2 linked regions of the Styela clava genome follow. Each later gene encodes a partner of the first gene's protein in a complex. Links are inferred from orthologs where the notes say so. Each region holds a gene or a part of one and is shown in the gene's direction. Other genes may lie near its edges. The genes, in order: V-type proton ATPase catalytic subunit A-like and V-type proton ATPase subunit D-like.

Region 1 (17,075 bases):
ATTGATTGAACCATGATTTATTATAATATTGATGGTAAAATGTACTGTGACAATAACTGTAGAAAGAAGTTTTAGTTTTGGCAGGTTGTATGCATGGTTAGGCCTACCATACGTCCCGCTTTAGGCGGGACGGTCTCGCTTTTCAGCGTTTTGTCCCGCCGTCCCGACAGGTCAGCCAAAAGTCCCGCTTTTGCGTCCAGCATGTTACACGAACATGTTCTTGTTACCGTTGTTGCTGTGTAGCGAGGCGCTAGCCTACTTACTGAAGGTGAATGCGTTTGTTTCCCGCTGATTCCCATTGGTAGCAGACGTATCGCATGTAAAACCAATACTAATTACTTAGTCCAAATTCGAATTATTTGGACAGCGAATATGCGCATGAAATTTCGATAACAATATGTTCAATAAAGCCAGCCGGGACAGCTTTGAAAGTAGGAATGTTTAGGCCTATGTAGTAAAATCGAAAAATGTAAAGTTACAAAATCACAGCTAGGGGGTCATTGTTTTTTGAGGCGTCCCGATTTGAAGTCACAAAAATATGGTAACCCTATGCATGATAAGGCGCTCAAATCTTTTCTCGGTTACGCCGAAATGTCCATTTAATATATAAAATTGACTGTCAATACTTTTACTGTCAATTAGTTAAATATTTTGAATTGAAATGGTGATTTTGAACTTGAATGAATTCTGAGGTTGAAGGTCAGAAAAACATTCACGGGCCATCTAACCGCTACATTTAGCATCAAAACTAACTAAGTGCCAAGTTTTTTCTGTCCAATACGGCTGCCAGAACGAAGTGGGCTTCTCGTACATTTCCTCGTCTTCGGTGATCAAATACCTCTCATATTCAAGGGCTGTTTGGGTACACTGTGGCAGTATAATGACGGATGACGTTAGAAGAGGCGGAGAAGATGAAGACCGTGGCCCAGGTACGGTACGGTACCGGTATGATTTGTGTGTTGTTTTCACTTGTCAGCTTGTCGTAGGTATGTTAAAAAAAATTTGAAGTCAATCGGATTTACCGTATTTCTCGGCGAATGAGTCTACCCGGTCAATAAGACGAGGACCGTTTTTAAGACTAAAAAAATGGGTTTTTACATATACCGGTACCGGTAACCTGCCAATAAGTCGGGGTTGTAAAATCGCATCAACATCGGAATCTCAAATTACCATGCAATGCCCTTTGAGCGGTCACCGCGTTTGCGCATTGGTTAAAATAGCCTACCGGTATAACGACGTTTTCTTGTAGCGTAATATTCAATCCATAATAACTACGGGAATTTAAACTCTTTAAATTTTCATCTAATTGTGTTCAACTCACGATTTTTTCCACCATAAAAGAACATTCCCTAATACATAATAAGGCGACACCAAACAAATTAAAATTATTATACTCGCCTAATAAGACGACCCCCCCCCCAAATCTGGCCGAAAATTTGGGTCTAGAAAAGCAACTTATTTGCCGAAAAATTCGGTAAATAATAACTGCGTCAGTGGATGGATCTAAGTCAAAATAAGAAAACAATACCAAGTTTGCGAAAAACGGTCAAGAATTAACGGAGATATCGGCATTTTAGTACCGCCCGATAGGCCAATTTTTCTCCATAAGGTTAGCATTACGCTGGCTCAAAAACTGTGACCGCAAGAATGTGAGACCGATAAATAACAATTTCTATCTTCGCTATTTTGGAAGGTAATCAAATGAAATTTGGAACGAAAAGATAACGTGAAAATATAAACCAAATAAAACAACTTTACAAATTCTTTTCAATGAAATAACAGTCTTTTTTAATTAATTATGTACAAGAAAATGTCTTAATTTCTCGAAGTCAATAAACTGATTTAAAGCTTCCATATCTGACTGTATTCACTGAACAATTTAAAATCTACCTGCACGTAAGATATTTACTGTGTTTACGAAAACTCAGAACGAGAAAATTCAGCGCCCGAGATGATGTCGACAATTCGGTCGATAACTATCTGCGAGTTGACAGACTCACGCTAAGATAGTATTAAACGTGTCTTGAAATATTTCGTAGCGTTTTCGAAAAACGCTTGCAAATTCTGTTTTTTTTAGAGAATTTTATTTATTGTGGAAAACATTCTATATTAATCTCTAATCTCTCGATATGCGTCACATCTATGAAATATCAAGGCTCTTTCATAATTTAATTCTGGCAACGGTCAATGAGGCCATCGGCGGATTGTCGCAAATTCAAAGTCGGAGGTGGGTATGTTAAATGAACAGTGGTTCGTTCCGGCTAATAATTAACGATGTTCGGATCGAGCAAACTTCACAAAAATTGGCAAGTTTCAAGTTAAGAAAGAGACACGCGTGTCATTATAGATTTTATAGGTGTCATTAGACGGGATCATTAATTTGTAGCACGTTTAAGTTGGAAGGTATTTTTAAAAGATTCGCATGATAGGAAATATTTGCGCTAATGGAAAAATTCAAAAACAAGGTCATAGTCGTGTTTTTTATCTAATTTATGTCAAAATTTCATGGAAACACTAACTATCGCTGGCAATCCGTAGCCGTTTTTATATGCGGTACTCAAGTATGGCGGTAACGGTACCTAGCAGAAGTGATGCGTACATTTTTTATTGCGAAAATGTGCGTTTTGTAACATTCCTACTTGTCGGTCTGTAGATGTGGGTAGTACGGTAACTTTACTTTATTAGTCATGTTGGGTATAAATTTTTGGTTAAGGGTCCATGTACAAAATCCTGAATTTGAATAATCTCGATTTTATCTAATTACATTCCAATTAACAGGTGCTTCATATCAAGTATTTGAAGTGATGTCAGATTTGCTGGATAAGCTGAAATTGTTAAATTTTGAGGAAAATTTCATGAGGCCAAACAACATGAAACCTCTAACAAGGTATTATCAGCTATGAAATGGGTGGGGACTTTCAGAAAATCTTTGGTCAATACTCAAAGGGTTTTTTGACGGTGAAAATAAAAGATTGTGATAATTGTAATCTCGTATTGCAATTTATAAAGTGGGTCAAAAATTTCAGTTTGTAATTTCGCTTCACACATACTTTTGTATAATATTTACAATGATGCTAACAGCAGTCACAAAAATGATTGTACATTTGCTGTTCGAACCATATTTCAGTTTTTGAATACAAGCCATCTGTCTCTTTTTATTTATGACATCTTTTGGTTTGCTCACAGACATTATTTTGCGGTCCCTACAAATCCTGGTGAACAGTTTCATGCATTCACTTCAATTTCTGCCTGGCTTCTTAACATCATTGGTCGTCCATTTGACATGCCACAAGAATTTGATGATCCCAATGCTACTATATCAAGTATATTGGAAGAAGTAAAACGAATGGTATGTATAACAATTTTTTAAATCATAATTAAACATTTTCAATCGTGGAGAGACTAAATATTGTATTTGTGATTTTTTATTCTTTCTTGAAAATTTTCAGGGAGTCGCGATTGATTTTCCACCATCCAAGTTGAAGCAAGGATGTGGAGAATATGTTTGTTATATCCTTGATCGTTTGACTGAAGAAGCATTGAGGTCAAGTAATTTCCAGTGGGGAAGGTAAATATTGTCATCTAGATAATTTCCATTTATTCAGGTGTATCCTATCATAGGTAAACCATTCTCATTTTATACAGCCCATCTTACCCAGAGGAAGCTCAGGAAGAAGAAGTTATACAAGAAGAGGATGCTGCTGAATTGAAATTGGATAAACTAGAAGATGAAATGGCTACAATGGGTGGTGATGATGCATCAGATGAAGAAGAAGACACGCACTTTATGGACTTAAAAGTTGCCAACAAGAATGTATGACATTGAATTTGTATATGAATGGAATTCTGAATTTATAAGCAGATAATCCGATCATCAATTACTTCTTCATCAATGAATTCTTAAATCATGATAATATATGTATTTTGCTGCATATTTAATTTTATGGTATATTTTGCAGAGTCATTTTAAGTTTTTTTTGAATCATGATAATCATTTTAGGATAACAAACAAGTGGATATCTTACAATCTACCACAAATGCAGATGAGTGGAAACTGGAAGTGGAAAGGGTTACACCTTCTTTAAAAGGTGTTGTCAGAATTTTATAAACCTATGATTTGCCACCAAGAAGATATTGGTACTGAATGTCTGATTAGAGTTGGCAAACTGCAACATTTATATTGGAACCCAACATGCATTTTTTCAACTTAGTATATAACTCAATAAGCTGTTGGGTCAAACACATATTTTGAGACAATGATGATTTTTTCAATAAGATTTTCTATATTATTGCTTGAGTAAAAATGAGACTATGTCAACTAATTTTGAATGTATCCAAATATTCGATTCATTAACAACTTTTTTTCACTATGAAGACTGATGCCAATATCCTTTAAAGTTAAATAATATAGTCAGAAAGTTTCAACAATTATTGTGTAATTTACATTTGTGTTTCTGCACACCCAGTAACAATCAGAACAGACAACAAGGATTGGAGAACTCACGTTGATCAAATGCATCATCATAAAGTTGGGATTGAATCATCTTTAATAGAGACAAAGGTGCAGTATATTATATAAAGTGATGGAAGATTTCTTCTAATTTGGGGATGTTAAGAATCATTTGAATTAATTCCCATTATTAAATATTCAAAACAACATCAAAAGTTGAGCATGTCCAATTTTAGAGTAGAACGAACCAGTTATTGAATTTGCGTAAAAAAGATCATGTACTTGGTTTATATAAAAAAGCATCTTCTCTATGCTTATTGCAGTTGAAGAAATGTGGTAATCACATGGATTCATTGACTAAGTAATCGCAATTTCAAATACTCTGTGTATGTTACATCACTGCATTATTTCTTTAAAATGGTATATTTGCTACAGGGCTGAAATAATTCTTAGTTTGTTCTTTGTAAATCATGTTGTGTTTGTGTCCGTGATATTAATATTAAATTCGTTTGTGACTATAAACTTTATAATTTTTGCAGTCTCATCTTGACAAGCTTCACGATGAAATTGGAAGAACACTCGAAAAAATTTCAAGCCGTGAAAAATATATTAACAATCAACTGGAACATCTAGTCCAACAATACAGGACCGCACAGGATCAACTTGCTCAGGTTAATATTCTATCTCAGGGCTACTCAACTATTAAAATTACGACGGTCCGGCCATTCCAAAATATATATTTTAACTATGCAAACACAATCTGAAATGCATAGTTTGACAAAATACAAGAGCAATGATTCGGTGCCGACATGACAAAGCTTCAGTTGTGTAACTCAGCGCCGACTTTGCTGAAAATATTTTAAATATTCGCTCCCATAGCACCCGTAATAATATGTATATTTAAAAGTCTCCCAGTGACTTGAATTATTTTTGAGACTAAAAATTAGGGATATATTAGTTGTGGAGAAGAACGATATTTCCAAATAATATTATGAAATACCACAACGTCTATAGGAATTTTAGCAAAACGATTCACTAGGCGACTTTGTGTTCAATAGCAAAGTTATTTGTTAATCGTTAGGCTGAGAAATTACATTTCTTTGTTGTTGCCAGGCAATAATTCCAATCTTGGTTCTATCAAGTGAGAGTATACTATTTTGCAAAATCGGGTTATTTTTCTATTTTAAAATTTCAAAAATACAACTAAAAACTGACAAATAGCATGTGAAGACACAAAAACAATGTATATTCGGTGGAAAATCAGCTCTCACACTCGTACTATATCCGGAGTCGCGTCTGCGGTTTGATGTTTAAATCCACCATTAGGAGAGTTACAATGTCCCAGCAAACGGACAACAGCCGTGTAGAGCGACGCACGCTATGGGGTGAAATTGGTTTTGGTGGGTTGAAACTAAAATTTCACCAATCCAGTTTTTTCTTTTTTTAGTTTATCCTTTCCAACACGACAAACCATCGTCTGACATTCTTTAGCGTCAGTCCACTGTAAAATATTCATAACATTGGCGAGTGGATGTGCCTTCATAATCTCGCCGTGGAACAGTCTGAGAATATTCAGGTTCAGTGGGGCATGCCCTACTGGGCACAATTCGACAGTGTTTAATACAATAAATGCTTAGAGGCCTATACATGCGTTATATATTTTTTCTAATATTATCATTCGACCCATGGTACAATATGTAATATATTCGAGAATCAAAAAATTGCCAGATTTGGAGTCGAAAAAGAAAATAATTTAATTTGTATACGGATTTTTTTTTAACAATATCTGAAATATTTTGGTTGAACATTGATTCTGTTCTTTAGATGAGAATGCTGATTAATTGTTTATTTTTAAATGCATACTTCGTTGAATTTTGACAAAATGCCCCATTGTGCCCCACGAGTGGAGTACAGTGGGACACTGGACAAATGTTTCTCAAAGCAATCTGGTGGTAAGATGTGTGTCGCAAGAAGATTTGAATAAAAATTACATTTATAAGCCCCCCCCCCCCCCGAAATGTGAAATGATTGTGCAAAATAATTGAAATGAAAAAACTATTGCACAGGGGTTCCTAGAGCCACTGGAATCTTTCATTGGGGTTCTTTACACCAAAAAGGTTAAAAATTACCAGACATAGCTAATATTGCATATGAGCATAATATCCTGTCACTTCATCTAATCTTGTCCTTTGAATGTTTTTTCATATTTTCCACATAACAAGTTTAAACCACAGTCGTCATCAGGAAATTGTGGGCAATGGGTCACACTGATTTGAAAAATAATGCAGTAAGCTGATCTCATTTTTTTAAACAGACGAAAGAGAAATACAGACAAGGGAGTGGAGGAGTGACTCAACATTCCAGAACATTAGCGGAAGTTACAGAGGAGTTGGAAAAAGTTAAACATGAGATGGAAGATAGAGGAAGCAGCATGACCGATGGAGGTATGACATTTGAAATCAATTTTCTATCTTGACATGGAAGCTCGAAATGAGTCCACAATACCGAACTTTAGGCCAGGGCTACTCAACCATTTTTCACCAAAGATCTGTGTACAAAACCCAAAATTATTGGGTTATGGTCTTTTCAGAAAATATATTTCACAATACGCCTAAATTTATTTCAGTGCTTACAGTATTTAGGTTATTAATAAAAAAGCGATCCACCAAGACGTTTATTAATTCGCCAAAGTTCTTTTCGAATAGAGTGATCCAAATATTTAAAACTAATAAAACAACCTCTGAAACTATAAATCAAAATAAGAGGAAACATTCACGAGCCTAATGTAACAAAATAAATTAAATGCGGTTCAAGATCAGGCCCGGTCAGTCAGTTGAAGGCTGTACCGAGTATAGTAGCCTAACATAAGTTTGAAACACTGTATTGCATTTAGCTCCACTTGTCCGTATCAAGCAATCACTCAATAGATTGAAAACGGAATCTACACAAATGGATATAAGAATCGGAGTAATTGAACATATTTTAATGCAGGTATGTCTCCATTCATATGTGTACAAACAACCTGGTTATCTATTTTTAGACCACCTAAACCAAAAACAACTCATAATTGTAATTCCAGGCTCGGATGAGAGACAAAACTATAATGCACAGCAACATGAATCAACCAGATGGTTCTGCAGAGTATAATTCATTCGGAAAAATGTATTAAATGCTGCTACAACATTGTATATTATTATTTATTTCATTGCATGATTTATTTTTCTAGAAATAAGTAATAAAAGTGTATATAACAGTACTGTGTAAAAGTGCAATAATCGAAACAAGCTTCAATATGAGACAGGACAAGTTAATTACTCTTGGGTGTCAGGTAAAAAAAGTCCTGTAGTGAGACATATTGCAATAGAAAATCCTAGGGCCAAGGCACTTCTGTAATATTCAGTCTCGTTAACTATAAATAACATGTTGTTGCTGAGTGTAGTGAAAGCCTGTAACAAACAAATATTGTAGTACCGTATAACATATTGCAACAGAATTAGAAAACATACTATGCTACTTGCAACTATGAAAAAAAACAATTGATACATTATTCAAATTTTGCATGAAAATGATTTTGGATCACAGCCTTTGATTTCTTGTAGGTATGGATAATCTAAGTTTCCTCTATTGTCATCAACTTCTGTGTGTCCCAATGAAGGTGGCCCGCTATCACGAATACATACACAGTACGCATTCTTTACTCCAACCGGTTTGAGCATCCTTGGTACCCCAACCCAGTCCCTTTCTATCCCCCCACTGAAAAACAAAATATTTTAGTAGTATGAAATTGTTGAGCTTTTACAGTTTTCAAGTCACATTTTTAAACATTAGTTTTGTAATCTATTTTGAAACTTTTATTACCTTTTCGTTGAACACCATACTCTAGAACCCGTCTCTTGCGTCCATTCTGAGTTACACCTTGGAAACAACTTTTCATGCTCCTCTTCTTTTGCCTTTAATTTCCTGGCTTCCATCATTTTATTCTGCGCTTCTCTCAATGCTGCAGTAGGTTGTCCATTCGCATCATAAAAATTCCCAATTAGCTTTCCTAAATTGCATAAAATAGAAAAAATGGTCACATATTGGTTATACAAAGAAAAATGAAAGCAAGAGAATGTAAGTAAATACTGGTAATCTTGGGATATGATACTTGGCATTGTTAGCCCTATGAGCATTTTATTAGATTTAAATCAAAGCTTATAGAGCGGTTACCATTAGCTAAAAGTAGCATGTCATTATTCCAATATATTTAAAATAGGATTATGCAACTTACCAACATACGTGTAATCTTCTTCATAAAATGTAACCCAATTTTCATATTCCCCGAAATGTTCAGCGCCTACCCCAGTAAGGTCATCAGTGAGCCCCTTATCAGTGAAATCACCTGTACTATATGCTTTAGTTCCATCTCGACCTAAAAGCAAAAGAAGCAACATGTAGCAATAACTTGTTAATACAAATTGAATATCTACAACTGAGGTTGGATATACTGCTTGTCTAATATTCAAATTATCATCGCTTATATCATCAAAACAAAATTATGTTTTAGTCGACCTAATAACTGATCATGTGCAAGTTAGTTGCTGGACTCAGTGCCACTTCTGCACTTGGGATTGACGGTCAATTTCTACCTTCAAGTTTGACAATGAAATGATGTGATCAAAAGTTTTATTGTCTTTGCTTAGAATCCGTATGTTATTTTGAACAGTATACCAGTATGTACCTTAGAAATTGAAACGAATCATTAATTACTAAATTGAGGATCATACCAGCAAAGAAGTCATATCCTCCGCCAGGTTCATAGAACTTAGCCCCTTTTGAAACATCATAAACTTTTCCTAATATAGCGAGATACAATCCCTTGCTATCCTTTCCACCGCGGTAGTGGTTCCATAGCTCTTCTTTTGTAAACAGCCGATCATTGGTCTTTTCCGAAATTGACGACTTTTCAGAAGCCGGCGCACTTTTTTTGGCAGCAGGTTTATTTTGTTTTTGTTGGAAAGAATCCATGAATCTTGAGCCCGATTCGAAAACATAGGCCTTGGCGGCTTCAATTTCTGTTCCATAATCTCGAACAAAATACCCGATCGCAACACCTAAAACAAGCACGAAAATTCCAGACTTGAAACCCATTCTGCAAAGAGGTAGCCTAGACGTTACCGCAGTTGACTACTGAGACACCACATCACAAATTCAAGCTTCGTTGGCACGTCATGAACTTTGCATGCTCGAATAAACTTCGCTTATTCAAGCTAACATTTCTCTATAATTGATTTGTTGAGATCATGTAATACTTGCGAGAACAGGATTAACGCCAATAATATTGTGGTTTAGGCCTAGGGTACCGGTACCGTATGTGGTTTACATTTACGAGGGTGAAAAGGCAGCCGACCGATGTGCAAAATCATGTTTTTATGCAAGGGTCGATTTCAGTCACCCTATATCAGTTTATGGGAGAGGTGCTTGACGATGTAATAACAAAAACGTTCCCTAAGTTCCAGATGGATAGGGTGTAGAGCAGCTCGTCACGGCGGCTAACTCCCCGGTTAAAAATCTAAATACACTTATCGTGCAACAAAGTTACCGTACCGGTACCGGTACAGAAGCTGACGGTCGTACTTTTTGGTATCCACCTATTTAGTTTTATAAATCAATGGAACCATCGTTTAACGACTTGATATATGTGGGATCGTAACAAATTTTTCATTCTTGAAAAACCAATTGGTTGCACCACATTCATCTTTCGAAGGAAACATCTCTGGTTTATCAGCGGGAGGTCAAAACTCGTGACAGGCATGTGAGAAGCTAATGATGCGTGATCGATAAATCATTCTTATTTAATTTGTTCTTGTGGCGTTAGGGTTGCGAAGATCTGAAGATCAGTGCCGGACAGCCGGTGATTTGATTTTAAAAGCAATTCTAAGCAAAATGCACGAGTAAAACAGCTGGCTACGCACGTTATATAGAAAATAAAGATTGGGACTGCACTTGATGCTTGAGATGGTGCTGAAGTGAGAAATACCTACAATCCAAGTTTCGCACTGCCTTCGTTTATTTTTCAAAAATTATTCGTTAGTAATGTTTACGTGGACTACCGTAGGCTATATTACAATATTAGTGTACCGGTATGTTGGCTGGTTGACCTAGAGCTGTAGAGTAATGAATGTGGTTTGATTAAAATCTCTACCAAATACTGAAATAGATGAGAATTGGGGTTTTGAGGTTTAATATATTGAAATTGTAGTTATCTTTATTGTTCATTACTGCATTATGTTAACGCGAGCTTATTCCATGTGTGTTTAGGTGAGTGAACACGTACGGTTCTCTTCTTCTTGGCAAAATCTTCCATCTTATATTCTGAACTTTTTAAATCTTATGTAAGGTCTGAAGGTGTTGTTTGCTCTCCTGATTTCATAATCAGTTTTTATTCGTTTGCTTTTAATAGTCTTATTCTAATATCGATTGTTCGTAGGTTCTGACCATATAGTGTATTTAGCGGTGGACACTTTTTGTGCAAAGATTCAACTCTATTAATCTTTATTCGGAAATCATGGATTTTAACAAACTCCCCAAAATAAAAGATGTTGAAAAAGAAGGAATGCTCGGAAAAGTATTTGGGGTATCTGGTCCAGGTAAACCCCTCTAATACATTTTACTGTCTAGAATCAGTACATCTTCATCTCAACGCTTTAGAAAATAGTTTTGGGAAATCTGAACTGGAAATATTTAATACAACTTTAGTTTTGGCGAACTAGATGAGTTTCAATAATAAGTCTTACTCTCATTATGGCATATATATTTTCAATCTGTAACTACATTACTAATATTCTATACTTTATCTTACAGTTGTGATAGCTCAGCACATGTCTGGCTCTGCTATGTATGAACTTGTCAGAGTTGGTCGATCTGAGCTTGTTGGTGAAATTATCAGACTTGATGGCGACAGAGCAACAATTCAAGTATATGAAGATACGTGTAAGTGAAATATTTCAAATTGCATGAACAGGAATAACTTTTTATTTGGGTATTACAAATTTCATTTCATTGGTCGGTACTCCCATTGTATGTGTACCAGGTTAGGGTTAGGCCATAATTTTATTCAGATTTTCCTTATTTTAGTTCTATCACGAGTTCTGGGACTGTCTGCGTTAGCCATGTGAATATCCCCCTGCCCATAGGTTCCAGTCCCTTCACACAACTTGATGTAAAATGGGCAAACAAAATCCAAATTGGTACACATACTTATGTAGCGCCCATAAGTGAACAATTCTCCTGCACATTATCATCAAAAAAATTTATTGAAATATATACATTCATTTTTCAGCTGGGGTAACTGTTGGAGATCCTGTATTACGAACTGGGAAGCCACTGTCTGTTGAACTTGGTCCTGGAATATTAGGTTTGTTCATGAGTATGAGTGACTAGTCAGTTTTTTGTCTCTTTTGAGGTTTGAATGAGTCTATATTTTTGTATTTGTAAATTTGTGGTGCATCAACTTAGCAAAACGACAGAACATAGTACTATAATATAAAGCAGGGATGGCGAACCACTGACCCGCTGGTCACAAAGTGACTGACCCGCCAAGGCACGAATAAAAAAAAAGCTAACATATCAGGGATAAAAATTGATAAAACCGGCCTTAAATTAATCTAACAATAACTATTATAATGTACCATCAATTGGGCAAGGCCGCGATCGCTCATATTCAAATTGGTAATTTTCAGGTCGGTATGGTAATTTTAAAAACCACTAATCTTGACTGCATGTCTGCACCGATGTGAACCGTTATTCAGCTCTGACATAGTTTATGACATAACAATGCCATTGATCTGTTCATTTCTCGCAACGTCTTGCCTCTTTTGGAAGTGCAGCATCTGCAGACTGTTTCAGGGGTTATTTGAGAATTAGATGCTACTTTGAATTTTATTAGTTTTTCGCCTACAATGCCGTTGAAAAAACGAAATCTTTCAGATCTCAAATAAAAATCTAGATATTTAAATTAACAATCGGGCAGTGTAAAAGTGCCTTAATGTGGTTGAAAGCTGATTGAAAAATATAACACTATCAGAGTGTAATTACCTACAAATTCTTTGGAACCGCGAAATAGTTTGCCGCATCATCCTAAACGTTTTTGGTAATTCATATGCGTGTTTTCGTACTCGTAACATAGGTTTAATAGTTGTGACCCACTCCCTTCTGTTCCGCGATAAAAATATAATTTTTGACCCATTCATTGAAAACGGTTCGCCATCCCTGATATAAAGAATTACAGAAATAAAAAGATGATTTTTGATCTCAAAGGAAGGGCAAGTGTTCAAAGAGCTTATAGAAATGTCACACCTTTTTGATTACCTATATTATTCTTATTAACCAAGAATTTTCAAAAAGGCATTAGAAATTAGAGATGTATCGGTATTTGACATAGATATTGGCGTTATTTCACTAGTTTCAGATTGGAATTGGTGAGAAAAGTTGAATTGGTACATCACTATTAGAAATGGGGATGAAACATGAATGCTTGATATTTCTATTGAGGGATGTTCTGTGATTCTTCTTTTTTTATTGTTGTTCAGGAAATATTTATGATGGAATTCAACGACCTTTGCGAGATATTAAGGATTTAACAGATTCAATTTATATCCCAAGAGGTGTCAATGCAACTGCACTTGATCGTAAAGCAAGATGGGAATTTGTTCCTTTGAAAAATATCCAGGTAGATCAGATTTCGTTTTATTGAAATGAGCGTGGAAAATATGAAAAGAAATCTTTGCTTTTAATAGACTATTCACTCTGATATGCTCTTAGGCAGATCTATACAATTTCCGGTGCTCCCATAGTGTGTGAACCAAGATAGCGAACACCGGATTGTAGTATGTGTACCAGGTTAGGGTTGGGCCATAATTTTATTCCAATTTTCCTTATTTTAGTTCTATTACGGCTTTACGGGTTTGGGACTAAACAAGTGACTTCCGTAGTGTTTGTACCTGAAATTATGGCTAAACCCTAACCTGGTATGCATACTACGTTCTGGTGTCTGCCATCTTGGTTCACATACTACGGGAGTACCCAATTTTAATTTAAATACTTTAGTCAGTATATATTACAAAAGAAAATTATATCAATATGAATGTAAGTCACTACTATTATCATACTATTTGTATTATCTGAGAAGGAACTTCGATTTTCAAATATTACTGGGAAAGTAACTTATATGAAGGATGATGTATGATATATTTCGTCATGATTTGTAAAAGCAAAGGCTTGTGTGTTTGAGCTTGAAATTTTTATGCTTTAAATTTATTGACTGTGCGGAGGATCAATACAACACATTTTCAAAGTATTGACAACTTGATTGTTGATTCATTTCCTCATTTTGCAGGTCGGCAGTCATATAACAGGAGGTGATGTTTATGCAACTGTAGTAGAAAATTCACTCTTACAACAAAGATTGATGTTGCCTCCAAAATGTCATGGCAAAGTCACTTACATTGCAGAACCAGGGGAATATGATGTCACAGTATGTGGTTTTCAGTTGCATTTATTGATCTGTCGAATTGCATTAATGTGCTTTTAGTAAACCTGAAGATGAATTAAGTTTGTGCGGCTAATGAAATTTATCCTTGAATTAGAGGTATTTTTGTCATGGTCATGCTTAGATATCTCACTATATGTAAATGTCATAACAATTTATTAAATATATTATAGTCTATAGTTTTAATGGTAGTAATTAAATAAAAATACAATAAAATGTTTGAACTTGGAAAAAAATCAAATCAATACTTGTCACTATCTGTATGGTAACGTAATATTGATGTATAATATTACAAACCATCACAAATACTCACTGAAAAGCGAAGCTCCATAGTATTCATTGGTGCCACTCACACTTTTCGTATTGACAGGATGTCGTTCTTGAAGTTGATTTTGATGGGAAAACATCTCAATACCAAATGATGCAGGTATGGCCTGTACGTCAACCTCGACCAGTGTCTGAAAAACTTCCTGCTAATTATCCATTACTTACTGGACAGAGAGTTTTGGATGCTTTATTTCCGTAAGTCTAAATTAACTGGCAAGCAGCAAACGATGTGGCACAGACTACAGAACATTAATTACATATGTCTAAATACAGGCACACTTCATCAGGATGGTAAATAGAGATGTGAGGTTAACAAATATAAATATAAAAATAGACTGAAACTATATATATTCGATCTTGTTTTAGATAGATTTCATAAATGCATTCCAATTGGTGGCTTTTTCGAATATTGTTAGATTCTTATTAGTTGTACTTGTTTACTATAGATAAGCCATATCGAAATAGTTTATTATTCTAGAATTTTTGTTGTATTCAATTTTAATTACCAAGTATGCAAGAATTTAGGTTGACTGAAGCTTTAGTAAAAGCAACCAACCAACAAATCTAATGTTTTATTCTAATATTTGTTTTTCTTGTTTCTTTTCAATACAGGTGTGTTCAAGGAGGCACTACTGCAATTCCAGGTGCCTTTGGCTGCGGAAAAACTGTAATTTCACAATCTTTATCCAAATTTTCAAACAGTGATGTTATTATTTATGTTGGTTGCGGTGAGAGAGGAAACGAAATGTCTGAAGTATTGAGAGATTTCCCTGAAGTAATTTCTTCTTGTATTCATTTGTGGAAAGGAAAGACAATCAGATAAATTAATTATATGACCAAACATGGATTATACTATTCTAGCTATTCAGCTATCTTCCCAGACTCATGGACTTTGATTTTGTAAGAAGTCATACCTGACCATCTGTTACAGCGGTAATATTCAAACATATCTTCATCCTCGAAGGATTCGAACCTGCAAATCCAAGTAAAGAAAATAACAGTTTGATGACAAGTTTTATTCCTCGCATAGCATGATGGGCCACTGCTAATCATCGAAACTGTTTGACAGACAAATCTGAGAACATTTGTATTTTTTAATATAATTTAATATAGTGTTTCTGAAGTCTATTTCTATAAAAGAGTATTAATTCCATTCCTGCAAATTATCTTTCATTTCTGCTTATTTTTATATTATTTTTTATTTTTCAGCTCACGGTTGAAGTTGATGGAAAAACTGAGTCTATCATGAAACGAACTACACTTGTTGCTAACACATCAAACATGCCTGTTGCCGCTAGAGAATCATCTATATATACTGGTCAGTATTTAATTTAAGGTACTCCTGTGGTATGTGCACCAAGATGGTAGAGTCATTCGACTAGTCCTCAAACTCGTAATAGAACTAAAATTAGGAAAATTGGAATAAAATTATGGCCTAACCCTAACCGGGTACACATATCACGATCCGGGTCCGCCATCTTGGTCCACATACTACAGGAGTGCCTAATTTAGTGCTGGAAACAGTCAAGTTTGAGACAATTTTTTTATCACAGGTATCACACTGTCTGAATATTTCAGAGATATGGGATATAATGTTGCTATGATGGCCGACTCCACATCTAGGTATGTTTTTTATTTTGTGATATTGTACATTTCTCTTTATTTTCATCCTCCATAATTATGAATATATGAGGAAAAAAATCACCAGTTATTGCGATTGATAGTAGATCTAACTTATTGACTAAAAGTCTATTCTAAATGCATCCTTCGGTTCTTAGCTCATGACTCGTGAGACCTATTCAGCCAAGAAAAGCATTAATATTCCTTGTTGTCGAAAGTGGTCTCGCATCAACTGCTGGATTGACCACGGATCGAACCTGCAATGCCAACATGGCTTGTTCAAATTGATAATGATAACTACTATATTTACCTATTAATCAGCTAACAATTGAATAGGATATTAGCTGTGGAAAATTTGTAGAGAAAAGAGTAATACTGTGATTGGGTAATTTTCATTATTTAAAAAACCATATATCAAAAGGTATTCACTTGTAACAACATTGATTAATTTTCATTTTATTTGGTGCATAAAAGGTGGGCCGAAGCTCTCAGAGAAATATCTGGTAGACTGGCAGAAATGCCTGCAGATTCTGGCTATCCTGCTTATCTCGGTGCTAGACTTGCTTCCTTTTATGAAAGAGCTGGTCGAGTTAAATGCATTGGAAATCCTGGTCGAGAAGGAAGTGTATCTATTGTGGGAGCGTAAGTACCTCATACTAGTTTTCAAAGTTGATCAAAATAGCAGCTCATTTATTACAAATGACATGATTCAAATGGTCTAGATGGCGAATAGCAGACAGCAGTTTGGTGTATGTTTAAAACATCTTATTGGCTTTTTTTCTATATATATATGAGATATGATCATATCTATAAGCTGCATTTCAATCTACTTTAGGAAGCATCTTTAGTTGCTAGTTTCGTTGCTTTAGTTTTCAATATTCGAAAAAAAGGCAAAATGTCTTTACAGCAGCTGTTTTTATGATTTACTGTATATGAGTTTTCAATTTCCTTTTTTGCAGTGTTTCTCCTCCTGGTGGCGATTTCTCAGATCCCGTAACATCCGCCACACTTGGTATTGTTCAAGTATTTTGGGGTCTTGATAAAAAGCTGGCACAAAGAAAACATTTTCCGTCAGTGAATTGGCTGATTAGTTACTCCAAATATATCAGGTAATCTCATGAATGTTAATTCGATTGTTGTTTTATTTGT
Region 2 (16,578 bases), on another chromosome or scaffold:
ATCGCCGCCGAAACGATCGCGGTGACAGAAACATCCGGCGATTATGATGAAAATATTCAGTAAAAAACGCTCCGTTGCCGACTTTTCAATGTTTCTATTAATTTCCAAAGGGAGAATCTACCTCCGACGTTCTGGACCCATGTCGTGTATAAAAAAATTATTCGTTATTCCACTATCAGGTATTCGTTAAAAATATTCGATTTTGCCCATAAACTTGACTTGACAAAGTCTGTCAAACTGATTCGATGAAATAATATAAAACATTTACCAAAAAAGTTTTTTTCTGAATTACGGTAATTAAATAAAAGAAACTGTTGGTCAGGGATGGCCAATACCGAATAGTTCACTATTTCGAATACATTCGAAATTATTATTTTCGATTATGAAATTTCGAATACTTCGAAAATAAAATCCACTAATTGAAGCTTATCTAAATGTATGTAGGAATTTCCATACAAAGAGCAATGGAATAACTGCTATCTACAACCTAGCTATATTACCAGGCATTTCATATTTGCAGATTATTGCGATATATATTTTATATACCATGAGTCATGTTAACAGAATTAAATTAATACGGCAATAGTGGTATCGGTGATAGATTTGATAATTTGCGCAACACAAAATCATCCTAGTAAAACGCCCATACTTTTAAATACCAATCATTATCCAAATTATTTGCCAAAAAGCGGGATAAAGTACGAGTTATTTTTCCGATTTGTGACAATGAGTTACGTTGAACAGAATTAAATTAATAAGGCATGACATTTTTTCAATGCTGGTACCAGTCATGGATTGGATTATTTTGCGCAACAAAATATCATCCTGGTGAAGGATCGATACTTTTAATTTTCGTTATCATGATTATTTGCAGAAATTATTTTCTAATAAATCGACTTGTTTTTCTAACTTGTGACAATTTATTGGATATCGTAACAATTACGGCTAAAAATACCGTATTTCCCGGCTAATAAGTCTACATGGCAAATGGCATCATGTTAGTTTGGTAGAATCATACTCACAGAATTAACTATTTTTTAACAATAAAGCGGTAAATTTAAGTTGTGAAGCGGAAATTATTTTGGACAACCTATTAACCCGAATGTTGAAATAATTTTGGAAGTACTACACTGTACGTGCACGGGTTATTTCACAGCTGTGTTTTCCTGTCCCTGTCGTTTTCTGCTGAAACGACAAAATGAAAGGGTCACAAATCATTTTATCTCGGTGGCGGTGTTTCTCTTTAAAGTAACGATAACCGGCCTGCGATTAAATATCATGATTGGCAGACCCTAATACCCAAATATAAGGTTACACAAATCATGCCTGAGAAGACTCATGCAAATAATAAGCAGGCCACATAGAAATAATATAAACATACTTTCTCAATTAGACGAAAAAAAAATCAGGTCGAAAAATTGGGCCTAGAAAAACGACTTATTAGCCGGGAAATACTGTGATTGTCAATTTTTCGACTAATGGGAATGAATTTGTAAATTAACTCGTAGACGAATGTCGGCAATGTCCACCCATGCAAATGTGTCGCAACACTATGCGACGTATGGTCGCACAGAATATAAACAATCGAAGTGCCGACTCTATTTCATCGTCATTACAATACGCGAGAACAGCGTAAAAAGTCGTTTGAAGATTCCGGTAAAATGAAACACCACGTTTACGGCGAAAAATGGCTACTATTCGGAATTATTCGAAAATCAGCCGAAAAGGTATTCGAATACTTTGATATTCGATTCGTTTTGGACAACCCTGAGTCTGTTGCCATTATCACAAGCTTGTAATAACCAGGGATGGCCAATTCGAATAAAGTATTCGAATGTATTCGAATATCTCATTATTCGAATATCGGAATTAGCGTTCATAAGAATATCGGATATTTGTGTGACGTTACACATTTTCGACGCCGCTTTCAAGACGTTCCCATTGAATGAAAACATTCTCGATAAAAACTTGCGCGTGATTGTTTTCATCACTCATCAGCGTAACGTGTTATTTAGGCCGTAAACACCTTTACGTTTGTGTTATTTTCTCTAAAACGAAAATTTTCCACAAATTTGTTCCACGATAACGATGACAATTATTTTATTTTTGTACCCGCACGGAATTGGAATCTGGTAAATACGTTCATTGACGGTGAGTTTCTAAAGACAACGCAACTTTTTGATTGAAAAGCGGCAATTTAAAATACTGAAAATAAAACCGTATACAATATAAGTTTTATTGAGGCCCGCGAAAATTTAAAAAACGCTCTTTTAGGCAGTGAAAACCGCAAAATTTCGTGTGCCTCTGGCACACATTATGTTTGGTCAGCGTTTAGAAACATATCGTCACGAATTGAGGGCGGGATTTGCCTGATTATCCATTACTTTAAATTGCCGTCAGATATTTTCGTGTTAACATGATACAAGGTTTGAAACGCGACTTTTTCTCGGGTTGTGAGTAGGGCTGGACATTTTTGAATACCTGATGATTTCAGAATCGAATCGAATAATTTTTTTCGAATCGAATCGAATCTCGAATACTTGGAAGGTATGAAATTGTATGTAAATTTCTTAGTATTTTAGGTCCTCCAGACACATAAATTACTGAAAACATAGAATACATCACTGACAATAAAAAACACGTTTTCATCAATACCTCAATACAGAGAAGAGTCATAAGTCAGAATTGTGTTGAAAAAATATGGCTTCAATGAAAATAAAAATTGAGAAACTTACCTCGACCCTTGGCAGAAAGAGTAAAACAAGATGGCGGCGATTCGAAAATTTGCTCTAAACCGATTCGAATAATTTACTATTCGATTCGAAATGCCCAGCCCTAGTTGTGAAGATGTACCGATATATAATATAATCAATCTAAAGTATATTCAATCAATTTTATTGTGATGAAATAAATTTTACTCTGAGATGTTACAGCAGATTTATGGATTTTTCGAACGGTTTTATCTAAAAATAATCAGAGTGGCAGCCAGCAGACCACATATGGGAACTATTTCACGCTTCAGTGATTCGTCTGCGATTCAAATCCGTGCTATCGGTCAACAACATCAGACCACCTATCGAGGAGGTTTGGAAGTGAGCTGCACTGGTCTTGCTCAGTTGCCTCATCCTGCTACTCGAGCCTATCGCAGTTACGTACGTTGATCGAAGGGGTATGAAAGTTGTTTTCCTTTTCATCTCTGGTAAGTGAGTTGCTTTTTACAACAAATAAAAATTTAACCAGATAGTGCAAGTTTAATTTAAACATCTTCCGCATCTATTAGGTCGCTGTTGAATCCAAATGTGAAATACCGGTACCTGTACTGGTGGGATCCCGGTGCGGCATGCTGGGTTGTTGTTTTGAAATAGAAAATAAAATTTTAATGTCTAAAGATCATTGGTAGGAACTGAGCGCAATACGACCTATGTTGATAAACTTCAGTTTGCATTGAGGAATTTCACCATACAGCCATACCTCATCTTAGCAGGCACCGGTAACCTAACTGTACATACCGGTACAAATTCAATGCTTCAGTGTCGGTAACGTCGCAGTAGTAGGGCGATATTAAATAATGAAAGTGCTTCTATTTACATATGATGATTATGATTATGTTCGATTGATAAACTATAAATGTTTAAATTTGGTTCTCAGTAGATTACTGGTAACTGTAGGCCTACCGTAATTTTTTGTTAATGGATCGTGTGACATAAGGTGCCGTTGAACGCTGAACGGACGGCCAAAATAATCCAACTCGTCTACCTTTTATGCCTTTAATTAATTTGACGTTTTGTTCTTAGATTATGAGCAAATTTCAACGGGAAAGCAACACCTCATCTTATTCTGCAAATAACTTCACAGAACTTCAATCAAGAACGTGCATATAGTTTTGATACTTTAATTAACATTTGTATTGAAAAAAAAATATATGCAGTGTTTGCAAATCTCGACTCATTTTCTTTAGTCCGGCAGCTCTAAAACTGTTCTCTGATCTCGTTAGTTTAGACATGTAATCGAGGGCGCTTAGTGGTCTCCGAGACTACTTTGACATTTCCGAATCGAACCGGTTCTCTGGACTGGTTTTGATGGACATGTAATCAGGCCTACTGTTAACAAGTACATCTAAATATTTGCCGAATTCGCAAAATACGGATCAAAACATTATTTAATCGGGCAGTTTACCACACGTTTTTATTTTTATGACCGCGACGCAACCGCAGGTTAAATTGAAGACAATTAAATTATTAAAGCAAGACATTTTAAATATGCCCGTATCGGTCACGAATTCATCTCTTTGCACAACAGAAAAATATATATTCGTTGTTATATTATTTGTTGTAAAAGTCAACTCTTTTAACAGGTGGCATATTCGCGGCGATGAATATGTATTTTTAATTTACTGCTAAACCTTATATATATGTATATTCATTGTATGAAATGAATTATACTCTACACTTAACAGGATTTTATATCATTATTTGAAATTTTTCTAACGGCGATAACGAGTTGGAAAGATTGCAAAAATACGTATTAAAATTAAATACATCAGGCAGTTTATCCCGTACTTTTTTAGGTCACAGATCGCCGTGGACCGAATAGTAATGTTTGTTTTTTTCTGACGTAAGAATAAGCAACCGCGAGTTACGTTGGACACATTAAATTAATTAATTAAATTAATTATTAAATTAAATCAGATATTTTAATTTTAGAATCTCGTAGTTGTCACGGATTGAATATTTTACGTAACAGGTAAACTTGCTGGTTGCAAAAAAAACACCCGGCAATTCAATGGCATTAGTAATGTAACAATATGTCAGAAGATGTTTCTGGTTATTTTTATGACGAAACAACATCAAATTCAATTTTTTGTTTACCCTTGCGCAAATGCGACGCGGGCCACAAAAAATGAAGCAGCGGGCCTGGGTTTGGACCACCCTGCACTATACTATCCGTCATATTGGTTCACATACTACCTTTATCTTTATTTGTTACAGATTCACGGACTTGATAGTAGGGCAACCGACCGACCACCTGCTACCCAGGAGTCGGCAACCTTTTGTCGCTCGCGGGCCAAAATTAAGGGTTGCAAGTCTCGGCGGGCCGCACATACGTTTTGAAAGTTGAAAACGGAACAGCACGCGGGGACTGCGACAATTCATGAACTCAACTCAGTCGTCTTATTAAAAGAAATAAAATTACAAATGACATTTAATGTGACACTGTCTTGTTGCTGCATCACGCTTGATATTTTTTCGACATCACACTGAATGAAGCCAAAATTGGAAATTTTCTAAATGGGCATCACTAATCCAAGTTCTCTTCTAGTCCTTTCTAATGATCATTTTCCAAAATAATTGTTTGCACACATATATACTTCCAAACATCGAAGTGAATTTTGTCGTATGGTTTGTCAAATTTTGATAGAGATTTTTTTTAAGAAGATACATTTTTATATAAATTAAGCAGTGATGCATCTCCCGAACGAATTATGAATTTTATTTTCTCATTGCATTGTATCTCAAGGAGCTTCATTTGGATATTTCCTGCACTATTTAAACCCTGCACTCAGCATCAACTCTTTTCGTGTTGCCATTTGTCTAATTATAATTGAATTGTAGGATCGTTAAACGAGTAGCTATTCACTAAATTGCTACCTTATGATATAATTTTTTTAAACGTGTCACACGATAAATTCTGTTACAGTAAAAAATATAGTCTACTCCTCGAGCGTAGATTATAAAATTATCTCACCGTCAAAACCGCCGTTTTGTCTTTATAATTCAGTGGAGCGCCGCGTGCCGAATTATTTTACTCGTAGGTCGTAGGTTTCCGACCCCTGGTCTACGCGAACTACCTTACGGCGAGTGGAGTCCAGCAATCATCTCGCGTGTGATTATCGCCCACGGAATGCAAACCTGCGAATGCACGCATAGTACAGTAGGCCCTAATCAAGTTCATGATGCGCAAGCCGCCGAACAAATACAGGTTTCGCGAAATTGCCCTCATTCAGCTTTTTCGCCCACTTCGGTATCGTTTTCGCCCGCTGGGGGCGATATCGCCCACTTTGGGAATCACTGGCCTAAATAACACGTCACACTGACGAAGACAATCGGCGATTTTAATAACAAAAGTAGCGCTGTGAAAATTCCAATTTTGCCAACGTAACTGAAAATAAATTCCGTTAAGTACGTGCAAGCCTAACGCTTATTTCAATTGTGAATTCACACCGACGACTGTTGATATCGAAGAAAGTTACTGGTACCCAGCAGCGATTATGCGCACAGCACACACTTATTCAACACATCCACTTACCGACGTACCGAAAAATATCGCGCGGCGACGTTGCAAGTTTTGCACACTGTAAATTACGATTAACCGAAATTGGAAAATGCTATTCGAATACAGCTCTAAACGGAAACGATAGGGGCAGCCCTACCGATCACCCATTTTCTTACACCATATTATTTCCGTACCAATATGGCGCACAACCTGATCATAATATGCGTATAATTTTCGATATTAATGACGTCATCGCACAAAAAATTAATCTCATGGAAGCCACAGACAAAATAACTAAATGTAATAGCCTTCCAGCGAAAATTAGCCTACAATGGGTCCAGTAGTCGTCAATGAGAGAAGCGATTTTTTCTTACGGTAACACGAAGAAAAATTCTTACAACATAATAACAGAACGATCCATATGCCCATTTCTTGTCCAATTAATTTTGTAACTTTCAATAAAAAGTTCGCCATACATTATTAGACCACCACAGCAAATGGGTAATGTGCGCCTTAGCGGACGAATAGTGTTCTATTGGGGTTTCGGAAGTGTAAGATTAATGTAGATGCCATATTAAAGTAATTTACGTTGTTACATACATCCATTTTTTGAAATTAGGAAACCTGTTGTTAGTTCGACACAAAAGAGAGCAAATTTATAATGCAAAGTGCGCCTTTTATAGAGCACGGGCAAGTCAAGTTTATTTTTTCAACTAACAAATAATCAAGTACCGGTATATATATACAAATTTCGAGAAGAAAAAAAAACAGTTCAACTGCGGAATAGATGCCGCGGGAAACCAAAGCTATTAATTATCTAACAAAGACATCGAAGCTTACTTATGTGGCCATTTGGCCCGCAATTCAGAAGAATCGCCCACCCCCGTCAAAGTTACAGTATAATAGATTCGACGAGATGGGGAGGATGTTATCGGAGAATTAACAATCGCACAGGTGGAGTTTATACTGTTATTATTCTTACAGTTGATCATAAGTGATATCAGTTGGACTAATATTCGCTTATTGGACAGAGTGGGATGTTATTTTTTCAACTTTGATTACATATAGTCCTATACTGTACTCAATTATCCATTCATTCCGAAGGCGTTTTGTGCATGTAAAAGAAACCGTAGTGCTAACAATCAACAACGCAATGTAGTATAGTATTTCTACAATATATTCTTACTATCACCTTCTGCCCACAAAATACATTTGAGTTGAAGACCTGTGTCATAATGGCAGGGAAAAGGCGAAAATATGCATGGTCGATAGACGAAAATATTGCATAGAGACTGAGGTAATCCGTGTATCTTCGAATATTAAATGATACACGAGATTCATAATGTCGTAGCGCTAAAATATACTAACTGACAAAATTTTTATTTTGGGGTTAATGGCATTCAATGAACACTTCGGACCAAGTTTGTCGTGTTATTGGTGTCTTTAATTAACGTTTTTACGGGTCATAACTTTACCACATGACCTCATAATCACGTGACCTATAATTTTGTTTATATTTTCTGCTGTTTTACAACAAACTGGTGTTGTAGTCGTGCTATTCTGCGTGCTTCTTTCCGACTGTGAGCACATTTTCATAGGATTGTAGGAAGATAACAATCGAAGAAAGATGTCTTCAAGAGACAGGATTGCTATATTTCCATCTCGCATGTAAGTCCTGAATGTTCTTAGAATCCAGGTCTGTCTTGTCTGTTCATTCCATCAAATTTTGAAGTGAAAATATTTTGCTTTAGCATTCAAAAGTTTTTAGCACCATTTAGGTCATGTGACAGACTACGAAAGTCACAATTGATTGTAAATTATCATCAAGACGAGCATGGCGCTATCTGATGCATCTGCCGTCATGCCAGATGCCCTTGCTTCAGACAAATAAAGTGTTTGTTTTATTAAACTAAATGTCAGGACATCTTGGCCAGTTTATACCGAATTAACTTTGTGTATATTATATATATTATTTTGTATACCATTGTTCGTTTACGGTTGACAAAACAATAAATCTCTCTCTCTCTTGGAATCGAAGAACTGTGCCATACTAGTTAAAAATACAGAAGTGTGGTGCTAAACCTTAATATGTAAAATTCTATCCTAATCTATTGTCGAATCAGTAATATAAAATGTTTGCGACCCTCAACAAATATCTTGTAATTGTTGGGTTATATAAGAGTATGACCCAAACATCAATTAAAACTTTCTAACATGAAGTGATGTAAAAAATGTAAAAGAATAGACTTGGTTGGTACTTGGCTAATAACAATTGTTAAAAAATGTGAATAGATTTACAGATTTTTTTTCATCATCCACCATGTTATCAACTTCCTGTCTGGGTGTTTGGGCATAATGCTACAGATATACCAATCAAAAAGTTTTCTCAGTATTTTTATATATCAGTAAACCAGAAAATACTGGTTTATCAGTATTTTTAAAAATATTGTATCATCATTCTAATTCTAATCACAATTCTAGTATTTGACCGCTTTGATTCATGTATATTTGTATATTTTACTGTTTGCAGGAATCTAACAATAATGAAAGCGAGGTTGAAAGGTGCTCAGAAAGGTCACAGTTTATTGAAAAAAAAGGCCGATGCCTTGACAGTTCGATTTCGTGCCATATTAAAGAAAATTATTGAGGCAAGTCAAATATATTCCTAGAAAATCATGGTGATCAGAAATGTGAAAGATTCCTGAAATAATCTGAAGATAATTCGATAACATGTTCATAAAAACAATTTTTTTATGTTTATAATGATTCTTATCCAAACACTTTGTTACATCAATATTAAGTTTACTTTTTCAATCGCATATTGATATTCAACTCTAGGTAATTTACTAACATTTTGTCTTAATAATAAATGCATATTCAGTGCCCCAATAATCACTTGCATCTATTCTGTTATCTTTTCAAAGTGAAAGAAGTAAAGTTTATCATTTTAGTAAATATTTTCTGAACTGATGTATATTTTTCTAATTAAGTATCATGCATCATAGGCAAAGCAACTTATGGGTGATGTTATGAAAGAAGCTTCATTTTCACTCGCTGAAGCAAAATTTACTGGTGGTGATTTTTGTACAGTTGTTTTACAAAATGTTAGCAAGGCACAAATCAAAGTTCGAACAAAGAAAGAAAATGTTGCAGGTAAAAGATCAAATAAGATATAACCAAATTACTGATAATAAAAAACTTATAATAAACATTCGTAATTACAGGTGTAAATATACCAGTGTTTGAGCATTATGAAGATGGAACTGACAGCTATGAACTGACAGGATTATCGAGGGGTGGTGAACAATTATCAAGGTTAAAAAAGAAATATGCAAAGGCAATTCATTTATTGGTTGATCTGGCATCTTTGCAGGTATGATATTCAATGACTGACAGTGTAAAATATGGACTGGCATTCAATTATTTTGTGCTTTGTCGTGTCTACAGATTTAAAATTACGGTAATGCTGTTTGAAGTTGTTGTGGACCAAAAAAGTTCATTTTTCTTTTTGTAACATTTGTTGGGAATCTTCTGTAAAATAGTTCAATTTAGATTAGATAGAATTGAGTTAGTCTGCAATATGCAATTGTAATATAATTTTAATGTACGGCAGGTTTGTTGGAATTTTGTATTTGCCACTAAAAATGGTCCTGATAATTGTTGGATGGATAGGAAGCTTTTGTCAATAAAACCAGAATTGGGTAACAAAATAGCCTTCATAAACTTCTTTATCAAACTTTTTAGACATCCTTCGTTACTTTGGATACTGCAATCAAGATTACTAATAGAAGAGTAAATGCTATTGAATATGGTAAGATGATTGAGTAAATTAAAAACAAGACAATTTAAAATGGTTGTTGATTTAGCCACAAAAAAGTCTGGCTTTAAGATCGATGACTTTTAACATCTTTTTATTGAATGGAAATCAATATTCATAAGGATTTTGTTGAAAGGGATGTGTTCGCTTATCTAATTCGACTGTCTGAATGTTGCTGATGTTTAATATACAGAGTGACTCCCAAAATAACAGAACCCATAAATTTCTAAATCACTTCTATGAGAATGAAAAAAAATAAGTTTAAGTTGTATAGGTCGCTTTGCACAAAAGTTATGTTCTTGCTAGAAAATTATCCAAATGACCTCCTGGGAGTTGGAGATAGACTCGCATCCAACATGCAAAATTGTACCTTCCTGTAAATGTAATTATTCACTTTTTGTGAATTAGGATTAACAGATTTTTTCATCCTTTTCAGTTATTATTCCACGAATTGAAAACACTATAGCATATATCATTAGTGAATTGGATGAAGGAGATCGTGAAGAATTTTACAGACTTAAAAAAATTCAGCAAAAGAAGGCTGTTGCTAAAGAAAAAGAAGACATTGCTCGAAGAGCTGAAAGGGAAGCTTTATGGCTTGCTGGAAATGATGAGGTTGATAGTTACACAGAATCCAAAAATATGCTGGATGATAATGAAGATGAGGATTTGCTTTTCAAATAGTTGTATTGGATTTCAAAAGTATATTATGAAGGTTGGAGTGATTGCTTTCCTTGGTGGTGCTTCATGGCTAGGACCTCACACCAAGGAAGCATCTTTTTCCGTTTTGATCTATCTTTTTTCTGCAGATTAAGTTTATGTGAATTGTGTTTGTCAATATATATACTTTTGATTGATTGTGAGATTTCATATTAATGTGATTGATGTGTCACGGGCCTATTATCCAATCTATTGTCAATTAAACTTATTAATGTAATCTAGCTAATTGTCCACAGGTGAAGATTCTACCATATGGGGACCAACTACTTTTGTGATGTGGAAAGAATATATATGTGTGTATATATATATATATTCATCTGTCGTCAAATTTCATTACGCCAATAGTAGTGTCTTTTCGGATTCAGTCTTTGTGCAATATTGCAAAAATCTTGTTCAAAATAAAATTCAAGATTAGAGCACATATTCTACTAAGTGCAGCATGTTTTTGTGTATGGCCTTTTGGGGGGATAGTGAAAATGCTGGTGCCTCCGGTGGTCAACTGATTATGTATCCTTGTTGCGGGCCATCCACATTATATATGTATATGGCGGAATGTCAGGGAATTTGGTCTATTTTGTACTTTAGGAAACGTCATAGGTATTGAAGTTGAATCAAGATCTCATCTGTTTCTACACATATGGGTGGATTAAGAGGATTTTTGTTTATAACTGTAATTTTGTTATTAACGTACCATCGAATAGAAAAACTAATCAGCGCAGCGCTAAATATTTATATGCTGTTTGGTTGCTATTTTTACCCCGCATTTGCGTCTTGCGTGAAGGTTGTGCACAATCGTCGATCAATCACTTGCAACCGTTTTCGTAAATCCTGCCCTTTTTATGCAATTTGCCTCGTTTGTATTTCCCCTTCTCTGGTTTCTATAGCGATGATTTAATCGTTCGGCGGAACAAAAATAACCTAAAGACACTCTTTTTTTATCCACAAAAAATGCCGGATTTTCGGTTAACTTGTGCCCCAAAAATAAATGGAAGAGGTCATCAATTGTTTTCTTGCAATTCCCAAATGAGTTTGAATTCACCAAGTACAGTTGGAGATTGGTCCATTTCAAATTGCTTTGTATCAGTCAGATGAAATGAATCAACATGACTGACGAAACTTAGTTGGTCATTGCAACATGGTCCGAAACGTTCGTGTTAACGCTTAGGATTTACATATTTATCCCGGAGGAGAGGAAAGCCGATAATACGGCTTAACCATATGGCGAACCACGGCCTCACTTCCGGTTACCATTCCATGTGGGGTATGTGCTTAATTAGTTATTTGTTTTCGGAAGCATAGGCTTGATGGTGGAGGAAGCCGTAACCGACCAGCAGTTACGTGAACCACCTTACGGCGGCGAGGAGTCTAGCAATTCTCTCGCACATAATTATTCCCGCATGGGATTCGAACCTGCGAAACCACGCAGGGTAATCAGAGGTGCGGTGCCGAGCGTGTTACTAACGCTAAGCGCGACGAGCCACACCGCCGCGGTATTTAATTAATAAGTCAACAATCAAGTTACAACATATCTGGAAAAATATGAGAATGTAGCCTACTAATTTGTTTTGTAACATTTCCATCACTCGAATTTCAAAAGAAGAAACATTGTACCAACATTATGGTGTGTGGGATACATGATCAAGCATGTTCAGCTTTTGATTTGAATCGAGTCCATCAGTCCAGTGGTTCTCAACCTGTGGTACGCGTGCCACTAGTGGTACGCGGGAACTTTTTAAGTGGTACGCGAGCAGATTTGAATTATTGCAACGATTAACATTTCAGTTGGCTAAAATAATATGCCGGCAACTCTTTATCTTCCTTACTGTAAGTATTCGCTGAACAGCGTTTATGGATGTTTCCCCAAGCATCAGTTTCCTTGTTTATTTCCGTAACTATAACTAATCGGCAATTAGTCATTAATGACGCAACACGTAACGATTGCAATTTCTGCACTCAGCCGCTCAGACATTTCTGTCGCTCAAACAGATATTCAAGCATGGTTGCAAATATTGCCTCATTTTTGTAGTTTTGAGTGATATTTGTCAGTTTTCAGTTGTGTTTCAAAAAACTGAGCTATATTAATTAGTACCTGCAAACGGCACATCGTTGATTAATTTTAATAAAAATTATGGTTCCAAACACGTAAACCAGTTTATGTGCGCCAACATACCAAAACACTCTCAGAATAAGCATATAGTTTGCAATAGTAACGTATAAGAGTATTTTTTCCGGGGTGAATGGTCGGGGAAACGTCCATAGCGCTGGTGCGCTATCGTTCCTTGCCCTTTGAGATCGCCCTTGCCCGCTATTGCCCACCTTAAATGAAGCGATATGGACATGTTTTTGTTCTTTTTGCGTGTTACACCACAAAGGATGTAGTGACACATTATAAAATACACACATAGCATGTTTCTTGTGTCTTTTTCCCCGCGTAAAAAAAAGAGCTTTGTCTGTGGTATTTTTAACGAATTTAAAAGCATTTCATATTTCGTACTGGTGCTCCATACATAATACGCGACGCATCGGAAAACTACACAATAGGCTACAGACAAAAATATTGCGTTATTTCGAGCAAGAAAGTATCGAATGCTAAAGTATACAGTACGTTTATGAACACACAAGCGTTCAATTTATATACTATATCAGGGATGGCGAACCTTTTTCAATGAATGGGTCAAAAATTATATTTTTTTCGAGGAAGAGAGGAGCGTGGGTCACAGATATTTAATCAATGTTTGTATCTATAAGGAACTGAAACAAGTCTGATAAGCTTCTGTTGGTGATGGTGTAGTTTTGGGCTTCACTTATGCAGCACTTCTATCAAGGACTTTTTATGGCATTCGATTTTATGAAAGTAGAGTACGAAAACACGCATATGAATTACGTTTATGATGACGCGGCAAATTATTTTATGGTTACAAAAAGTTTGGAGAAAATTCCACTCTAATAGTGATATTTTTCGACCAGCTTTCAACCACCTTAATAGGGCTTGGGGCCTCCGCGATCTATTCGTTTACTTGAAAACTGTCCTCGACCTACTGCCTTATCTCCCCCAACCTCCCTATTCTCGACCCACTACGCTATTTTCCTATCTGCCCAACTTTCCTATCCTCGACCCACTGACCCATCCTCGAACCACCACTCTACCTCCCTAAACCGTTCTCTTCTCGACCCACTGCGCTATCTCCCTCAACTTACCTATCCTCGACACACCGCCCTATCTGCCACAAGTTAACTATTTTTGACCTACGCTGCTATACTATTCAGTACCTGACCTAACGGCGCTTTATTTACGACCCGATCGCCACATTGAACTTAACTATCTTGCGACCAACTTCCATGGGTTATACTGGTCGTGTATGCCAATGAAATGATTCAATCGTACGTCGACAAAACATGATTGACGGCTTTCGTATATGTAGGCTGGAATATCAAATGGTAAACAATAACCATAATTGGCAGTTTAAAAATGTGTTACTAATTGGGCTATTGATGGTTTCTTGTTGGGAATGACAGTTTTCTAAATTTAACCAAGCCGTTTTATGTCTTTAATAATTGGCCATGTCGTGAGTCTTGTGACAATATGATGCTGATCCGAAATAAACAATAGTGCTCTGGTCCGTGTAAAGTATTTTTCTTCAACATTTTATAGTAAAAACGTTGCCAAAGATGACGTACGAACTGCGTCCTTTGCAACCTCATTAAGTTGCAGATAAGATAAGCTCATTTTTGGGACTATACGCTGAATTAAAGTGCAGTTGGAAACGCTAGCTACGACAAAACATTTCATGGCTTAAAAATCATTTGGAGGGGTTAGCAAATAGGGTTACCATATTTGAAAAAGCAGAATTCCGGACAGTGCATGACTATGTCGCACAACCTTAGTCCTAACCGGTACACAAAAACTATGTTCAGGTTGTGCGCCATCTTGGTGCACATACTTCTTTCAGGAGGTCCCTATTTTCATGAGACCATATATATGCGCTACCGAAATGCTAAGGCTGCAAACTTGTACGATACTCATGCTAAAGCGCCAGCTACCGAAATGAAAAGTATTGTCTTCAGTCACAAGCAGAATCTCACACCAGGCAGGTAAGCACACTCTAAATATAGCTACGGGCCGTCGACTGAAAAAATCTCAACTTCAGAGTGAAAAATAAGAATGAGAATTAGATTGTGCCGAAACGGAAGAACAGCAATTACGTGCTTAAAACAAATTAAAGACAATCACTACAAATTTACTCTTCTGACCATGCATATTTTTCTGAAGATCTCATTCTCTCCTTGTCTGATTTCAAAAATGAAAACAATTCACTACAGTGCATATCTTTGAAATTATATTGGAGAGTCAACATGCCTTTTATAGTCGCAACTTGTTTCTCTCTTTAGTCCACTGACTTTGCATCAGTGAAATGACTCTCTCTACAATATTGGCATTGTGGGATGTAACAGCAAAGAAAAACAGTTCAATCCTTAAAATTTCGGAGTGGCATGTGATGTTCGTAGACTGATCGAAATATTTGCACCATCTCTTATGCGTTGGCAGTTCAATAAATTCTTCGTCTTGTAGGTAACTTTCCACAAACTGCTTCAAGTTACAGACTTGGTCAAAGCATTTATCATCGTCCACATCAACCCGTTTACTAATCAGATGTTCCAGGGCCAGGCAAGGCTTTACATCAGAGGTCGGCAAACTTTTGTCGCTCGCGGGCCAAAACCAAAGGTTGCAAGTCATTGGCGAGCCTCATATTTTTAGTATGTTGAAAACCGAACGAATACCCGATGAATCACACTTTTTCACACAGATCAGAAGGTAAATTAAGAGCAGCGCACGAAGACTGACCATTTGAATATTTTCTGCACCATTAAACCATTTGCGCTAAGCATCAACTTTTCTGCGTTTTGTTGCCATTTGTGTAATTATAATTAAATTATAGGGTCATTAAACGCGCAATTGTGAATTATATACTTGTTAGGTTATAACATAATTTAGCCTACGCGTGTCGCAAAATTAATTTTCCGGACGGTATGGCAACCCTAGATTACACTCACTGAGCGACTTATATTTTTGACTTTTCAGCCTTCTCAGTCACGTAAAAAAAAATGTATATAGAACAGGATATGGCAGAACATACGTTGAAAAAGACCAAGCGTGCACATATTTGATTACTTTCTCATCGTTTTGCCTTGCATGGAAATACAGGCGACATTGAATGAGTTACTGAAAAGGAACTCAGATATGTCGATATTGAATGAGCTGTTAAAATTTTAAAAACAGTGACTCCGAACCCGATGCCATCAGTAGCCTAATTAGTAGCACATTTTTAAGCCACTAATTATGGTTATTGATTACCAATTGAGATTCCAGTCTACATTTACGAATGCCGTCAATCATGTTTTGTCGATGTACGATTGGATCATCTCATTGGCATACTTGACCAGTATAACACATGGAAGTTGGTCGCAAGATGCTGGAGTTCATTTTGACGATCGAGTCGTGATTGTAGCGCCGTTGGGTTAGGTACCGAAGGGTATAGCGTCGTTGGTCGAAGGTGAGCAAGTTGAGGGAGGGCGGACAGAGGGTCGAAGGTGGTAAGTCTTAGGCAGATAGTGCAGTGGATCGAGGATAGAATAGGTGCGGGATATAGGGCGATGAGTCGAGGATAAAAAGGTTGAGAGGGAAAGGAAGGTAGTATAGTGGGTCGAGGATAGGAAGGTTGAGGGAGGTAGGGCGGTGGGACGAGGATAGGGAGGTGGGTGGAGCAGTT

What was found.
Region 2: the proteins of V-type proton ATPase catalytic subunit A-like (region 1) and V-type proton ATPase subunit D-like are in contact, whole or in part, in a cryo-EM structure (PDB 9B8P), measured with the Rattus norvegicus proteins. The link is inferred for Styela clava from reciprocal best matches to the Homo sapiens genes ATP6V1A and ATP6V1D. Residues at the interface, in NP_001101788.1 of Rattus norvegicus: Ala366, Met368, Pro369, Ala370, Asp371, Ser372, Asp416, Ser418, Asp436, Lys438, Glu491, Gln494, Leu495, Val496; in NP_955418.1 of Rattus norvegicus: Lys4, Asp5, Arg6, Arg167, Ala171, Val175, Ile176, Arg179, Tyr186, Glu190, Arg194, Glu197, Tyr200, Arg201, Lys204, Ile205, Lys208.

What each region holds. Positions count from the first base shown.
Region 1 is NC_135253.1:4,230,251-4,247,325, forward strand, and holds the start of V-type proton ATPase catalytic subunit A-like, read left to right. Parts: upstream 1-10,875; 5' UTR 10,876-10,997; coding exon 10,998-11,079; intron 11,080-11,293; coding exon 11,294-11,422; intron 11,423-11,771; coding exon 11,772-11,846; intron 11,847-13,020; coding exon 13,021-13,160; intron 13,161-13,826; coding exon 13,827-13,964; intron 13,965-14,349; coding exon 14,350-14,501; intron 14,502-14,918; coding exon 14,919-15,081; intron 15,082-15,515; coding exon 15,516-15,624; intron 15,625-15,859; coding exon 15,860-15,929; intron 15,930-16,400; coding exon 16,401-16,568; intron 16,569-16,885; coding exon 16,886-17,035; intron 17,036-17,075. Other genes in the region: intraflagellar transport protein 57 homolog, read left to right, coding at 881-929, 2,779-2,887, 3,187-3,349, 3,450-3,568, 3,646-3,814, 4,001-4,088, 4,467-4,561, 4,990-5,121 and 3 more; neuferricin-like, read right to left, coding at 7,999-8,203, 8,309-8,495, 8,721-8,861, 9,217-9,580. UniProt on the Homo sapiens protein: Catalytic subunit of the V1 complex of vacuolar(H+)-ATPase (V-ATPase), a multisubunit enzyme composed of a peripheral complex (V1) that hydrolyzes ATP and a membrane integral complex (V0) that translocates protons.
Region 2 is NC_135255.1:8,109,622-8,126,199, reverse strand, and holds V-type proton ATPase subunit D-like, read left to right. Parts: upstream 1-7,782; 5' UTR 7,783-7,900; coding exon 7,901-7,941; intron 7,942-8,803; coding exon 8,804-8,921; intron 8,922-9,278; coding exon 9,279-9,426; intron 9,427-9,497; coding exon 9,498-9,646; intron 9,647-10,017; coding exon 10,018-10,084; intron 10,085-10,526; coding exon 10,527-10,774; 3' UTR 10,775-11,233; downstream 11,234-16,578. UniProt on the Homo sapiens protein: Subunit of the V1 complex of vacuolar(H+)-ATPase (V-ATPase), a multisubunit enzyme composed of a peripheral complex (V1) that hydrolyzes ATP and a membrane integral complex (V0) that translocates protons.